Notamacropus eugenii: one gene and its partner. The protein of the gene in region 2 interacts with the protein of the main gene of each other region in a pairwise test. Links are inferred from orthologs where the notes say so. Each region holds a gene or a part of one and is shown on either strand. Other genes may lie near its edges.

Evidence for each region.
Region 1: the proteins of SRF (region 2) and ELK4 interact in a two-hybrid assay, tested with the Homo sapiens proteins (2 studies listed by BioGRID and IntAct). The link is inferred for Notamacropus eugenii from reciprocal best matches to the Homo sapiens genes SRF and ELK4.

Annotation. Positions count from the first base shown.
Region 1 is NC_092873.1:433,841,825-433,849,374, reverse strand, and holds the start of ELK4 (ETS domain-containing protein Elk-4), read right to left. Parts: upstream 3,010-7,550; 5' UTR 2,875-3,009; intron 1-2,874. UniProt on the Homo sapiens protein: Involved in both transcriptional activation and repression. Interaction with SIRT7 leads to recruitment and stabilization of SIRT7 at promoters, followed by deacetylation of histone H3 at 'Lys-18' (H3K18Ac) and subsequent transcription repression.
Region 2 is NC_092873.1:106,071,552-106,078,764, forward strand, and holds the start of SRF (serum response factor), read left to right. Parts: upstream 1-4,208; 5' UTR 4,209-4,341; coding exon 4,342-4,869; intron 4,870-7,213. UniProt on the Homo sapiens protein: SRF is a transcription factor that binds to the serum response element (SRE), a short sequence of dyad symmetry located 300 bp to the 5' of the site of transcription initiation of some genes (such as FOS).

The DNA.
Region 1 (7,550 bases), about 330 Mb from region 2:
ATATCAAATGCAGAAACTATATTACAGAATACACTTTCTCTGGGCACTGAATGACATCAAATACATCTAACGCATTTGGAATTGGAGATGTTGAGAATGACAGTCAAGGAAAGAGGAACACTGCCACACTGAAATGAATTCTTTGAAGTGACTGTGCTGTTTCAATTGGTATTATCCTATTCAATTAGGACATCAAGCTTTTCTTTGGTTGACATCTTAGCCAAGATTTAGTTGACTACTTATTCCTTGTGTCCAATTCCTAAATACTATTTTCTGAAATTATGGTATAAACACAGATTTCAGTAATATCTTTTTAAATAGACAACTTGTTTTTAAGACATTCTACTCAATCAGCAAGTGTTTATTAAGTGTCTACTATGTGCCAGGCCCTAATACAAAGACAAAAATGAACCATTCTCTGCTCTTAGGGGATTTACATCCTATTTAGAAAGATATCACATACATATATGTATACATATAAATACAAAATATACATAAGGTATTAAGTGGAAGGGACAGCTGTCAAGAAAACCTCACACAAGGCAGAATGGTATAGAAGAAAAAATAACTATTGGCTCTGGAATCAGGGGACCTCCCTTCAAAGTCCACCCCAATCTTCCTACCTATATAATCTTGGGTAAATCATTTAACCTTTCTTCATCTCAGTTTCCTCATCTGTAAAATAATCAGAGTGAACGAGATGGCCTAAGGTCCCTTTCAGTTCTAAAACTACTACCTTATGACCCTCTAGAGCTTATATTAAGAAAGCTTAAATTTTAAAAAAAGCAAAGATAACCTTATTCTTGTCACTGTGGTTCAAAAAGGTGAATACATTATATTTTTATTTTAACATTTTTTCAAATACAGCTTCAAAGAAGGGACACTTGTGTTTTCTTCAGCACAAAACAAAAGGAGAAATAAAATGATCTTTTCTCAAAATAAATTAGCTGATATTAATACAAGTGGGATGCTGAATATGTTGCAACTGAATATGCAGTGAACATCTTAAAGCTGGGAGAATTTCAGAATATACATGCGATTTCTTAACTCTGGGATAAAGGATAATATCTATATCAAAGTTTGATAATGTTAATACTTTCTTATTATGAAAAAGAAGTCTCTAAGTGAGACCTTTTCCAACCTAAACATGTTTACAATACACACTATTCAGTTGCCATAGTGACACAGAGCATAATTGTCAAAAAACAGATTTAAAAAAACTTCAATTATAGATAGAATAAAATCATCTCAGTTCATTAAATGGACCAAAACTGATACTGAAATATGAACATTAAAAAATTAAAAAATCTAATCCCATATGAGTGTACTCAAATAGTATTGGAAATATATAGTAAAATATTACAAATAGCAGCATTTGGAAAAGATGATACTTTATTAATAATGTAATTGATTTCCACTTAGGCACTTTGGAAACAAAACTGAAATACAAGAGGGATGGAAGATTAAGATAGAATATCAAAACTCATGAAACACTTTAATAAAGATACCATTAGAGAAACAAATCTGAGTTAAAGTACATTAAAGTCTATGATGCACTTTCCTCACTTCATCATTCTGCAGAGTATTTGTACTAGGATTTTTTGAGGAACTTGTAATTTCTTAAGTGTAAGGAGTCTCTAGAGAGGTGCCTTCACTACCAATGCAAATACACATCTTCTCTGGGGCTGAGAGCTGAAGTGATTTGCCCCAGATCTCCAAACTCAGGTCACCACTCAATTTCCACTATGCCAAGCTGCCTGATGATTGCTCCTAAGTGAAACAGGAGGAAACTGAGATTTGGCAAAAAGTCACACAACTAGTAAATATGAGAACTTGAGATTTGAACCAATGTCTTTCAGCACCAGGACATCATGATGCTTTTTCTAGAAGTAAAATTATACTTCCTACCAGATCAAAACATAAAAAAGGGCATGACCTAGCAACCTAAAGGTGTAGTGAATTTCTGTGGCTTTTTTTTTTTTAAAGCAAACAGCATCCTACAGATTTTGCTGAAATGAGTAAAATATTCTCTTTGCCAAGAAAACCCTAAATGGGGTCGGGAAAGGTCACACTGAATTACAAACATCAAAAGCCAAGAGTAGGAAAAACGGCAACAGCATCTCTCAGGGCTGTCCCAGACAACAGCCCTTCTCCGCCGTCTCCTAGTCCAGATCGGGTGGCCCCCGGCCAGGAGTCCTCCCACCTCTCAGGGGAGCTTCCTTCTTAAATGTCTCCTGCCTCTCTGAATCTCTCCTGTGTACTTCTCGTAACACAGAACGCCCTACTGTCTTGTCCCTCCAGCTAAGCTCTAGGTTCCTGGGCGCTTCTCGTTTCACTCTGGCATCCCTGGCACCTGAGGCATAATCGCAGGAGAAAAACGTGCTTCTGACCAGTCCCCTGGTCAGCGCCACGACCAGCCTCGGAACAAAGTGAGATCCCAGGGTATCCCAAAGCAGGAGCGGCCGGATCCGCGGGAGGGGGCAAGGCCGATGACCGCGTGGCCGGAGCAGGGCGACCAAAGTCCTGGGGAGCGCCGCCGGCCCCCAGGCCTCCCTCGGGAGCAGCCCAGGGCTGTGCTTTCATTTTCCGACTTCCTGCCAGCGAACGAAATCCAGCTCCCTCCCTTCCTCCCGGCCCGCACCGCACACAGGGATGCTCTGGTTGGCGGCGCCCCGCAGTCGTGGGCGGGCTGGGGGGCCTGCGGCTCCCGAGGATCGGAGCGGGCTGGGGGGCGCGCCCACCCCTCTCCCTCTCCCGCCCCCGCCGGCCCCACCCCCAAGCTCGGGGGGGAGGGGGCGCTCGCTTCCTGCGCGCGGCGTGGGCGGCGGCCCCGAGAGCAGCGCTGGGCGGGGGCGAGGGGCGAGGCTCACTCACCGAGGGCGCGGGGTCTCCCTCAGGTCCTCCTCTCCCTCGGGCGCCGCCGAGCTGCGGCTCAGCCCCGGCGGCGGCCCCCCGCGGCCGTCTCCTCACGCGGGCAGCCCACGGGCGCTACGGCCGCGGAGGCGGCGGCGGCCCAGCCGAGCCCGCCGGGCGCCCGCGCTCGCCCGCATCTCCCGCCGCCGCCGCTCCTCCCGTCCCGTCCCCGTCCTCCGTCCTCCGTCCGCAGGCACGCACACGCACGCACAGCCTGGGCAACGGAGCCGGGCGGTCGGGCCGCTAGCCGCCCTCACCGACCGGCCAGCGGGCGGATGGGCGGGGGCGGGGGCGCGCGCTCGGAGCGTTCCTCGGCTCGGCCCCGCGGCCGCCGCGTCTGCTCAGCCGCTGCCGCCCTCCGGCCCGAGCCCGACCCCTCCCGGCCTCGGTAGCTGTCTGCGTCACTTCCGGGGGCGGGGCGGGCGGACGGGAGGAGCGCCGCCACCCCCCCAGAGCCCGGGGCCGGAAGCGGGAGGCGCGGCGGCCGCGGTCACCCTCCAGGACGCCTGGCCCCGAGCGTCCGGACCCGGCCGTGCCGGGGGAGGGGGATTTCCAGGGCCGCCGCCCGGAACTCCCCGTGGAACTAGCTAACCCTGGCCGGCCCACCCCAGCGGCCACAGGGGCGCGCTCCTCCCCCATCGCCCTTGACCCCTCTTTCTGGCACGTGACCGACCAGCGCGCATTTATTAAGCGCCTGCTGGTGCCGGGCACCGGCTAAGCGCCGACGATACAAAAAGAGGCCAAAGAGAGGTGCCCGCCCTCCGAGGACTCACGAATATATACAAAGCAAGCTACAGACAGAATACATGGATAACTCGGAAGGGAGGTACCGCAATTAAGAGTCTGTCAGTAAGCATTTATTAAGCGCCTACTGTGTGTCAGGCACTGTAGCTAAATGCTGGGAATACACAGAATTGTATGAAACGAAATGAGGAAGGTAAACGGGAGCCCAAAGGGGAAGGACTCTGTGCCCAGTCCGCCTCCCCTGCTTGCCTCTGGGGATACAGACCCGAGAAGGAGAGACGGTGCCGGCCCAAGGAGCTCTCCTTCTGACAGCCCGGGGAGCCTGCGGCCCTCTTCTCTGCGGTGTTTTATAATAATGGGAGCACATGCTAAATTTCAGTTAGAGGCTGAAGGTAGAATTTTTCTTCCTCCAGTTTCATGGACCTGCTGAAATCTTGTCCCAGAGAGGAGGCTGTTCATCCCAGGTTCAGAATCCTTATACTAGAGAGATACAAACTATCCCTGGATAAGTATATACTAGTTCAGTAAATACGGAATGGTTTATATGTATCCGTCTTGGCTTTTCTGCAGTCTTTGGCCATCCTCTTGGTTTTCACGGTACTAGTTCTCCCATGACTCAATTGTCCTAACTGGATATCCCCCCCCCCCCCCAAGACTTTATCCTGGGTCCTCTTGCATTGCTGACTCACTGCCCTGGAAGCCCACCAGAACCCCCAAGATCTTTGTCAGACAAACTGCTCTTTAACTCTTTCTCCTCCCCTCCCACTGCTTGTACTTGTGAAGTAGGGTTTTTAGCCCAGTTGTAAGACTTTACATTTATCCATATTCAATTTCAACTCATTTGACTTGTCAACTCTAACCCAACGACCAAAGAGCCACAGCAACTCTGCAACTGCTGTTAACTCAAAAACAAAACAAAACCAGAGAGCTCACACAAGTTATCAAAACTGCAGTTAACTCTAAAAAATAAAATAAAAAATAAAACCAAAGGGATAACTGCAGTCATAAGCAAAAGCTTTTTATTCCATCGGAGGAGGAAAACTAGATACATGTGCCAGGCCCCCTGTAGTAGGAGACCTATTTTAGTGTGGGTAAATCTCAGCGTATGCGCTAGAGGCTGCGCAGTGAGCTGTATCCCTGACAGCTACAGTGAGACAAGCTTGATTCATAGCAGGATTTTATGACTGGGACACAGGTACTACAGGTACTTAAACAAGCTCAAGAGACCACCTGGTGCAGGTGTGAAACAATACTGGGATGTTGCCGAGGCTGAGTTCATGTAGAGGGTGAGTGCAAAGGACTGTTGTTATGCCAAGCTCAGGGTACTTGCTGGACCTTAGCTCAGGAAAACAGGGTATCTCCTAATAGTAAAAAGAAAGGGGTGGTCTTGGCTTGGGGATCCTGCCAGACTCAATACAGGCTTCTAGTTTGTTAAGAGCTTTTTGGATCCTGACCATCATCCAGTTTGTTTGCCACGTCTCTCAGCTTTGAGTCAGCTGTAAATTTGATAAGCACGTCATCTGTGCCTTTACCGGAGTCATTAGTAAAAGTAATTGAGGACAGAATAAAAACAATCGGATTTATTCCTTTTTGGTACAGATGTTACTTCATCAGGGTAAGGACTTCCTAGTAAGGAAAGTCCCTCTGCCAACCCAGATTGGCAGTGTTCTGCAATGTAAGCTTGAGAGAAGCCCAATACAGAGAGGTGGTATCTTGCCCAAGGTCACTTAGCCAGTATGTGACAGAAACTGATCCCACATATTCCCCACTCTGAGATTATTTTTCCACAATACCATCCTGACTTTCAGATTTATCTATAAAGAGGTCATTGGTAACCTCGGGAAAAAAGATTTTTTTGGCATAGAAATCATCTCGTGGCTAAGTTATAAAAGACTGAGGAGTCAGTCAACAAGTATTTATTAAATGCTTACTATGCTCAGGCACTATTCTGGGAATACAAAGAAAGGAAAAAAAAAATAGTGTTCCTTCTTTCATGGACCTCACATTTTTATAAGGGAAATAACATGCAAATAATTATGTACATTCAAGACATATGCGATATATAGAGGCAATTTTAGAGGGAAAGGATGGGAGAGGAATGAGTCAGGAAAGGCCTTCTACAGAAGACAGAATTTGAGAAAGCAGACTAGTGTAGCTGGAATACTCATAGAATGAGCAGACAAGAGTAAAATGTAAGATTTAGAAAGGTAGGAAGGGGCCAGATTGTGAAGGCTTTTTAATTCCAGCAAATTTTCTGTTTCATCCTGGAGATAATAGTTATTGGAATTTATTTGGTGGGAAAAGGGAGAGATATGTATAGTAATAGCTGTGCTTTCAGAAAATTGCTTTAGCGTAGGAAAGAACTAAAGACAGGAAGACCAGTTAAAGATTAGTTACTGCAATTGTCCAGGCGAGAGGTGATAAGAGCCTATAGAGATGTTGTGAAGTAAAAAAGAAAAGACTTGACAGATTGGATATATGGAGTCAGTGACAGATTAAATACAGGGGAGTTGAGGAGAGTTAGGTTGTGAGTGCAGACTGCTTTTTCTAAAAGTCTGGCAGGGAAAAAGAAAGAGGCCAACAAGGCCAATTAAACCTTGGGCCATAAGCAGTCTAATATTTCTGTGCCAGGCATTTTTTCCAGTAAATCAATTCAACAAGCACTTATTACATTCCTACTATGTACAGGGCAGTGTGCTAGGGGCTAGGAAAACAAAGGCATAATCCCTGCTTACTGGAACCATGTACTCTTAATAGAACAGTAATATTTTCCTAAACACAGAACATTAAAAATCATTCCCACTATTAATAATTATATGAAAAAATGCTCCAGGAAAAGGACCTACATGTACAAAAAATATTTATAGCAGCTCTTTTTGTGGTGGTAAAGAATTGGAAATTGAGGGGATGTCCATCAGTTAGGGAATGGCTGAACAAATTGTGGTATATAATGTAATGGAATACTGTTGTGCTATAAGAAATGATGAGCAGACAGACTTCAGAAAAACCTGGAAAGACTTATATGAACTGATGCTGAGTGAAATGAGCAGAACCAGGAGAACATTGTACACAGTGACATTAACATTGCAGTGGCTGACTTTGATAGACTTAGCTCTTCTCAGCAATGCAGGGACCTAAGACAACTCCAGAAGACTCACTCTGGAAAATGCTATCCACATTCAGAGAAATTTGGAGTCTGAATGCAGATGGAAGCATACTATTTGCTCTCCTTTTTTGTTGTTGTTTTGTTTTGTTTCTTCTTTCTTATGGTTCCTCTCATTAGTTCTAATTCTTCTTTATATCATGACTAATGGGAAAATATGTTTAATATGAATGTATAAGTAGAGCCTATATGAGATTGGGAAGGAGAGAGGAGAAGGAAGGGGAGAAAATTTAAAACTCATAATCTTATGGAAGTGAATGTTGAAAACTAAAAATAAGTGACTTAATTTTATATATAAATTTTTTAAGTGCTTCAAATCATTAATAACAAGAGAAATCCAAATTAAAGCAACTATGAGATTCTACCTCATAGCCATCAAATTGACTAAGATTACAAGAGAGGAAAATGACCAGTGTTGGGGATAGAAAGGCTGCAATAAAACAGACATACAAGTACATTGTTGATGAATTGGTCTAGCCATTCAGGAAAGCAATTTCAAACTATGCTAACCTAAAAATTTATAAAATTGTCCAAACCCTTTGACCCAAATAGAAAATGAAAAGTAACTATATAACAGTTCTTTTCATAGTAATGAAAAAATCTAGAAATTAAGGGGATGCTCACCTTTTTGGGGTATGTAGCATATGAATGTAATAGAATATCATTGTGCCACACTGTTGGTGGAGTTGTAAACTGCTCCAACCATTTTGGAGAATGATACCCAACAGGC
Region 2 (7,213 bases):
ATCTCTGAGGCCTGTATCACCATCTAGCTTGCTCTCTTCAGGACACACTCAAGTTTCCCAATATTCTTCTTAAATATATTACATAGTACCCACAACTGAATATACTCCAGATGTGGCCTGACATAGGTATAGTAAAATGGAACAGACATTCAGGTTCTTATTTCCTGAATGCCAAGATTGCATTAGCTTTCTTAGTGGGCTGGCTAGTGCATTTGCTCTCTCACTCGCTCGCTCTCTCTCTCTCTCTTCCCTATTTTCCTCTCTCCTTTCTCCTTCTCTTTCTTCTTTCTCCTCCTGCTCCTCCCCTTCCTCCTCCCCTCTCTTTTCTGTTTCTCCATGAGTCCAAATGGAAGGACCTCTGTAGATTAGGACTTCTTAACTGGGGGTTCATAGACTCAGGTCCTTCTTTATTTTAATAAAATTTGATTTCCTTTGTAATCTTCTGTATTACATGTTATGCATTTAAACCCATTCTTCTGAGAAGGGATCCACAGGCTTCACCAGACTTATAATGAAGTCCCCTAAATGTCTGCAGAGGAACACTGTACTAATGCTTCAAGTATGGAAAGACAGTTGCCTCTTAAAGGGATTTAAAACCACTCCAGTTTAAGCCTCTAAAAGTTCACATAGGAAAAAAGAAGTGGATGAATAAATTGCTCATAAAATTTATATACAATGCACACTGTAAGGTTTTTCAAGTGCTCTATTTGCCAAGCCCAGGACAGCCATTCTGCCCATTATCCTGGACAGACATTGCTTGATTGGACCCACTGGGCTGGGCCTAACTCAAAAACTTCCAGGGGAGATTGCATTTAAAAAACTGTGCAGTTCTTTTAAGTTGCTGAAACAAAAACTAAAAAAACCCCCAAGATAAAATTCATCCCTTAAACAAAAATTATTCTTGTGATATTATATAGTTCTGAATCATGAAATGCACCAGGTTTCTTTTAACTAATCAAAAATGGAAGTAAAGAGATGTAGGAGTAGGTATAAATAAACTTACAAGCATATTTACTCTATTCCTATTGAAAAAAAGTGGCATAAGAAAAATTAAATGAACCAGTAGCCAATTAAAGCATAACAACAGAGATAGACCCAGTACTTACAAAATGCTGAGGTCCAGAGGAAGGGCCAGTAGCTCATTGAGTGGACTCCCTGTGGAGAATTTATAGGATGACATGGAAAAGAGTTGATGAGGTGTATAGAATAACTATAGTGTTGCATGAGATCTCAGTTTGGGTCAGTGGAAAGGTCACTGGATTTGGACTCAACCTGGATTCAGATTCTGAGGCTGCTTCTTAATGATTCAGACAAACCACTTTCCCCCTAAGTTTCTTCATCTGTAAAATAATGAAATTGGACTAAAGTCTAAATCTAGAACCTAGATTTTAGTTCTGTGACTCTGGAAGTGTTAAATCTTGTGTTTTCAAAGCACTCTAGGAAAGAAATGAGGAAAAAAACCTTGTGGCCACTATGCCACTACTTCAGAGAAGTGTTTAACCACATATTATCTCAAGGATATGAGAAGCTCTAGGGAAAGAATGTGGAGGCCCCAGCTAAAAGTTCTTGTTATGATCTATTCCAGGGAAGCTGGAATGAAATTTGGCCATGATTAAGCCGTGTGTGTGTGTATGTGTGTGTGTAAAAACCCATATACACATGTGTGTATACATACATGCATACGTATATACACACATTATGTGTTAATATATGCCACCAGTATAGTGTAGTGAAAAGAATACTAAATGCAGGTATCAGAGAACCTGAGTTCAAATTTTACCATGATATATATCTTTTGTGACCACCTTGGGTAAGCCATTAACACTTCTGTGCCTCATTTCTCCATCTGTAAAATGGGGTAGGGGACAGATGGAGATCAGATGGCCTCTGAGGTCCCTTCTAGCTTTAGTTCTGTGATCCAGTGGAGATAACCCTACTCTTGGTCCAAATCTTCACTGTAACTAAAGAGGAGGAAAAGAGGGTTGAACAGGGAAGTGTCACATTCTTTCATTTCCTAGGTTAAAGCTGAGAATCCCAAGTATGACCTTGATCTTTCTAGAAAAAAGGTTAAAACATCAGACAAATGAGGGCAATAGCTTACATGTACACAAGCTTTAAAGAACCTTACTCGGTTTTGCTTTATTATCCCCATATTACAAATCAGGAAGCTGGTGTTCAGAGGCTATAACTTAAGGTTTTCTGAATCTCAAATCCAGGGCTTTTTCAACAATTACTGAATTGAGTGAGAGAATTGAGATGTAACTGGAGGAAGGCCTAGGGTTGCGACTTGGGGCCAGACATGAGTAACATTTTGGCTTTCTTGTTCCCAAAGTCATAAATGTATCTCTCTAGTCCCACATATTCCTAAATACCCCTTTAGAGGTATGCCTCCTTAGAGACGCCTCCTCTTACCAGTTTTTTACTTAATTTTCATAGCCAAAAAGTTGAGCAGAAATCTTGCCTCACTTCCAGAAACTTCCTAGGATTTTTATCTGATAAGTAAACTTAGTTTGAGACTCTGCTGATGAAATCACAGATTTTTTCATGTGTCATGGAATATTATTTTACATTTTCCTAAGATGATTCAAGCTTGGGAAGGGATATAGGGATTGTTAATTCTTGCATTGGTATGGTGGGACATGATAAACAAGTCCAGGTTCATCTGTCGATCAGCCAGTGTTATTAATTGCTAGGTGCTAGAGAGATACATAACAGTGAATGAAACAGTCCTCCACTCCATCAGTGTCCACTGAAATACAGCACCAAAGAGGAAGATCTGAATCCTAGCTTTGCTCCTCAGACTACTTGTGACACTGCACAGCTACTTCCTATCATGTGCCTTCCCTGTCCTCTGTAAAAGGAGGGAGAGGGAGCCCAAGGGCTCTAAAGGCTCCCCAGAGTCTCCCAGTTCTAGCTCCCATAGATCCCATTCTTCTGAGCTTTCATTTTTCCTACGAGAAGAGAAGAGGTGATCCTCATGTGGACTTCTTTATTCTCCCTACTCTCAAAACTCCCCTCCGCCCTATGTGGTCCGTGCCTTTGTCCCGCTGTGCACCACACATGACTGAAAGGACTCAAACTTCTCCTAGCCTCATTTTGTAAGTGGAAGCTGTGGTTTCCCCCCTCCCCCCCAAAAGAAAAAAACGCCAGAGTCCGGATCTCAGAGGCTAGCAGTGTGCCGGGGCAAGCTACTTAAACTCGGCGCCTCCGTCTTCCCATTAGTAAAGGAGAGGGCTGGACTGAGTGACCTCCAAACACTCAGGAGCCCCTTTTCTTCTTCCTGATCTCATTCTTCCAGAGGTCTTCCTTCCCCTTACCCCCAAGGTGGGAGATGATGGATGCAGACCAAGGAGCTGACCCCTTTAAATTGTAGGGCTAATTAAGAGGAAGAGTGGGGAGGAATGTTTGGGGTCAAGGCCAGCGCACAGCCCCCCTTTTCTGTACCCCCCACGGACCTCCAGAAGCGTGCCTCTTTAAGTAAACTTGGCCCCTTGCTCAGTCTTCTCACCGATCCAGCCTGGGCCCCCCCATTCCTGCCTGTTGTGCCCCTTCTGCGTTCCAATTTCCTTTCCTCCCTTCCCGGGATGGGCGCTCTAAACCGCTTCATCTCCCGGGTTTCCCTCCGCCCCTTCCACCCCATCCTTGGATTCTCTCAACCCCCACCGTCCGGAGGGGGCGGAGACCATTCTCCAACCTCCTGTCTCTTTAAGAGACGCCGGAGCCTCTGGACTCCGCGCCTCGGCCTGACGCTAGAATGACAGCAGCTGGCCTGGTATGCCAATGCAAATGAACAGTTCCCCCCCCTTGAGGTGGGCCAATGGGAGACGGAGGTGCCGGAACCGCCGACCAATAGGGCGGGGGCGCTGGGGCTCACCATATAAGGAGCGGCCTCGCCATAAAAGGAAACATTGTATCTCTTTATATGGGGGGAAGGGTCGGGGGATCCCTCCGCCGACAGCGCGTGGTCCCGGCCCCCTCCGCCCGCCGCCGCCGCCGCCGCTGCCGCCAGCAGCTGCTGCTTTAGCCCCAGCCCCCGGGGGCACGTTGACGGCCGCGGGGCGCGCCGCCTGAGCTCTCGGACAGGGGGCGCTGCACGCGGCCTGGGGCAACCCGGGCCACCGGGGCAGGAGCGTGAGGGCCCGGAGCGGGCCGTGCAAGGGGCCCCGGGCTCGCGGCGGCGGCGGCGGCGGCGGCAGGAGCAGGAGCAGCAGCCTTCCGCAGCAGCAGGAGCCGAGTCGGGGCGGGGAGCGGAGGCCGATGGCGGCGGCGGCGGCAGCAGCAGTCCCGGCCCCGCGCTGATTGCCCGCCCGTCCGGACGCCAGCCCGCCCGTACTGAGCGCCATGTTACCGAGCCAGGCTGGGGCCGCGGCGGCGCTGGGCCGGGGCTCGGCCCTGGGGGGCGGCCTGGTCCGGGCCCCGACGGGGCGGCCGGGCGGCGGGACTCGCGGGGCTAACGGGGGCCGCGGCCCCGGGAACGGCGCGGGGCTGGGGCCCGGCCGCCTGGACCGGGAGGCGGCGGCGGCTGCAGCGGCGGCGGCGGCGGCAGCAGCGGCCACGGGGACCCTGTACAGCGGCAGCGAGGGCGACTCCGAGTCCGGCGACGAGGAGGAGCTGGGAGCCGAGCGGCGTGGCCTCAAGCGCGGCCTGAGCGACATGGAACTCGGCGTGGTGGTCGGAGGGTCCGAGGCGGCGGCGGCGGCCGTGGCAGCGGCGGCGGCCGGGGGCTACGGCCCCGTTAGCGGCGCCGTGAGCGGGGCCAAGCCGGGCAAGAAGACCCGCGGCCGCGTGAAGATCAAGATGGAGTTCATCGACAACAAGCTGCGGCGCTACACGACCTTCAGCAAGAGGAAGACGGGCATCATGAAGAAGGTAACGACGCAGGGGGTCCGGGCGGACGACCCGGCAAGGAAACCGGGACGGGGGGCGTCCGGGACGAGGAGGAGGAGGACCCAGGTGATGAATGGAAGGTGGTGCGGCAGCCCGGCGTGCGACCTGGGCTGGGGTGTCGGGGAGACCCGGCTGGGGAGGGCAGGGGGACGGGGCAGAGGAGGAAGAAGGTGTCCCACGCCCGAGAGGGACCAAGAGTGTGGCAGTGGGAGGCAGTGAGTAATAAGGGGGGAGGGAGGGAGGAGGAATCGTGGGCCATGGAGATGTTTGGGTTGGAGGGAGAGAGAGAGAGAGCGAGAGAGCGGAGGTAGTAACAGGACGAGTCAGAGGCTGCCAGGAAGGGGTGAGTAACAAGGCTCGGGGCATGGTGGGGCAGGTGTGAGTACAGTGTGCATGCAGAAGGCAGGAGGAGAGGTGGAAAGGTGTGTGGACAGATGGGGAGGACAGCGCAACAATGGGCCACTTACCCTGTCAGAATGAGATGGTCAGCCCGGAAAAGGGGGCAAGGAAGGAAGCGAAGGCCCCAGTGAGCTCCTGGAGACACGGACTGAGTCCCACAGAAGCGGAGGGGGGAGACGGGGAAGTCTACCTACCAAGATCTGTAGCTATCTATATTAATTGTACTTCTAAATCTATAGCTGTGATATAGAGACATAGCTATGCAGATAGATCTATACCCATATATACACACAGCTATAGAGAACTCTATATATAGATGTAAAGGGAGATCTATCTATATGTTTAGATGTATCCAGATATCTGTTGATATAGATGTATATTTGGTGGAGATAATGACTAGGATGAGGATGAGTCCAAGCTCAGGTAGATATGAGGGCTGACACAGAACAGATCAATGAGCATTGTGAAGGGAAGTAGAGAAGTATGGGGGGAGGGGAGAGGAAACCCCCGAGACCTTAAGAAGAAAGGCCGAGTCTGGTTTTCCAGAGAAAGTGGGAATGTGCTTAGGGTTTTGAGGGAAAGTTCAGCAATGGACCTGAACATCCAAATCCCAATTCCCCTAGAGACAGATTTACTCTCTCTTTTGTGGAAGAGGCCTGAGTTTCCTAAGCTTTCCGGCATGGTAAAAGGGGGTGGTAGGAGGAGTCTAAATTGTTAATTGAGATTGAGGAGATTGCCTTCCGGTTAGAGAGGAATAGGTGTTTGAAGAACAAGATGTCAGAGCCTTGGAAGTGCTATCCCTGTACCTGCCCAATGTAGAAACTAGCATTGTCCTGTTGGTCTTGGAAATCTTGGGGGTGGCATGGGGGGAGGAGAGCTGCCCACCCCTCAATCATCTAGAATGTAGATAGCTGTGGAGCTGGCTCCTCTACAGACTCCAACTCTTGGCCCAAGCAGAGTGATCGGTAAGGGTGATCCTCTGAAGTAAAAGTCTCACCTCTGTGACCAAAATAGAGGTGCATGGAAACAGGCTATAAGTTGTAAAAGATTCCTGAATTGAGAAGATTATCGTGGTTGTTGTGCATAGGGGCCTGACAGGGAGAGTAAGCAGAGCATTGCTCAAAGAGGCAGCTTGGTGTCCAGCAGAGAGAGAGCACCAGACAGGGAGTCCAGAAACCCAGATTATAGACCTAATTCTTTCATGAACTAGTTGGATGACCACTTCGGGCAAATCACTTCCTCTCTCTGGGCCCTGGCATTCTTCCTCTCTAAAATGAGATTTAGATTATTTCCAAGATCTTTTCAACTTTGGACATTCTTTATATTGATATAAATACTGATATTAACCCCTAAAAAAGCTGAGGATTCAGGAGCTAAAGGAAAGGTGATGGCATTCAAAGTTCTGCCAAGGGTGAGAAAGGGCATGCAACCTAGCATGGGTCTCAGGCTCATGCTGGACAGGAAGGTGACTTCAGCTGTTTGTGGAAATCCCAGACACATGTTTCTTCCTAGTGCCCTGCTTGCCTTTCAAAACGTTGGGGACTTAAAGGAGGGAGAGTGTGTGTGTGAGTGTGTGTGTGTGTGTGGGTGGGTGTGGTATAGTGTGGTGTGGTGTGGTGTGGTGTGTGAATGTGCCCTAAGGCTCCCAGCAGCTGTGCTTGGTCCTTGATTCTGCCCAAGTGGATAGGAGGACAGCTGAACTGAGCTCCTCCTCCCCTGTGGTTGACTGTAGGGTCATCAAGAGGGACCTGCAAACTATAACTACCTAGGGGAATGCTCATATTGCCTTGAAGATGATTGGGGGTACTTAGCTGAAGTATCATGGGGAAGGGTCTGTATGTTTTAAGTGTGTTACCCTCCTAGCTGAACTTCTAATGTTCTAAGAAATCTCTTAGAAACTCAGGACAGCATGGAGTCTCAAGGCCTG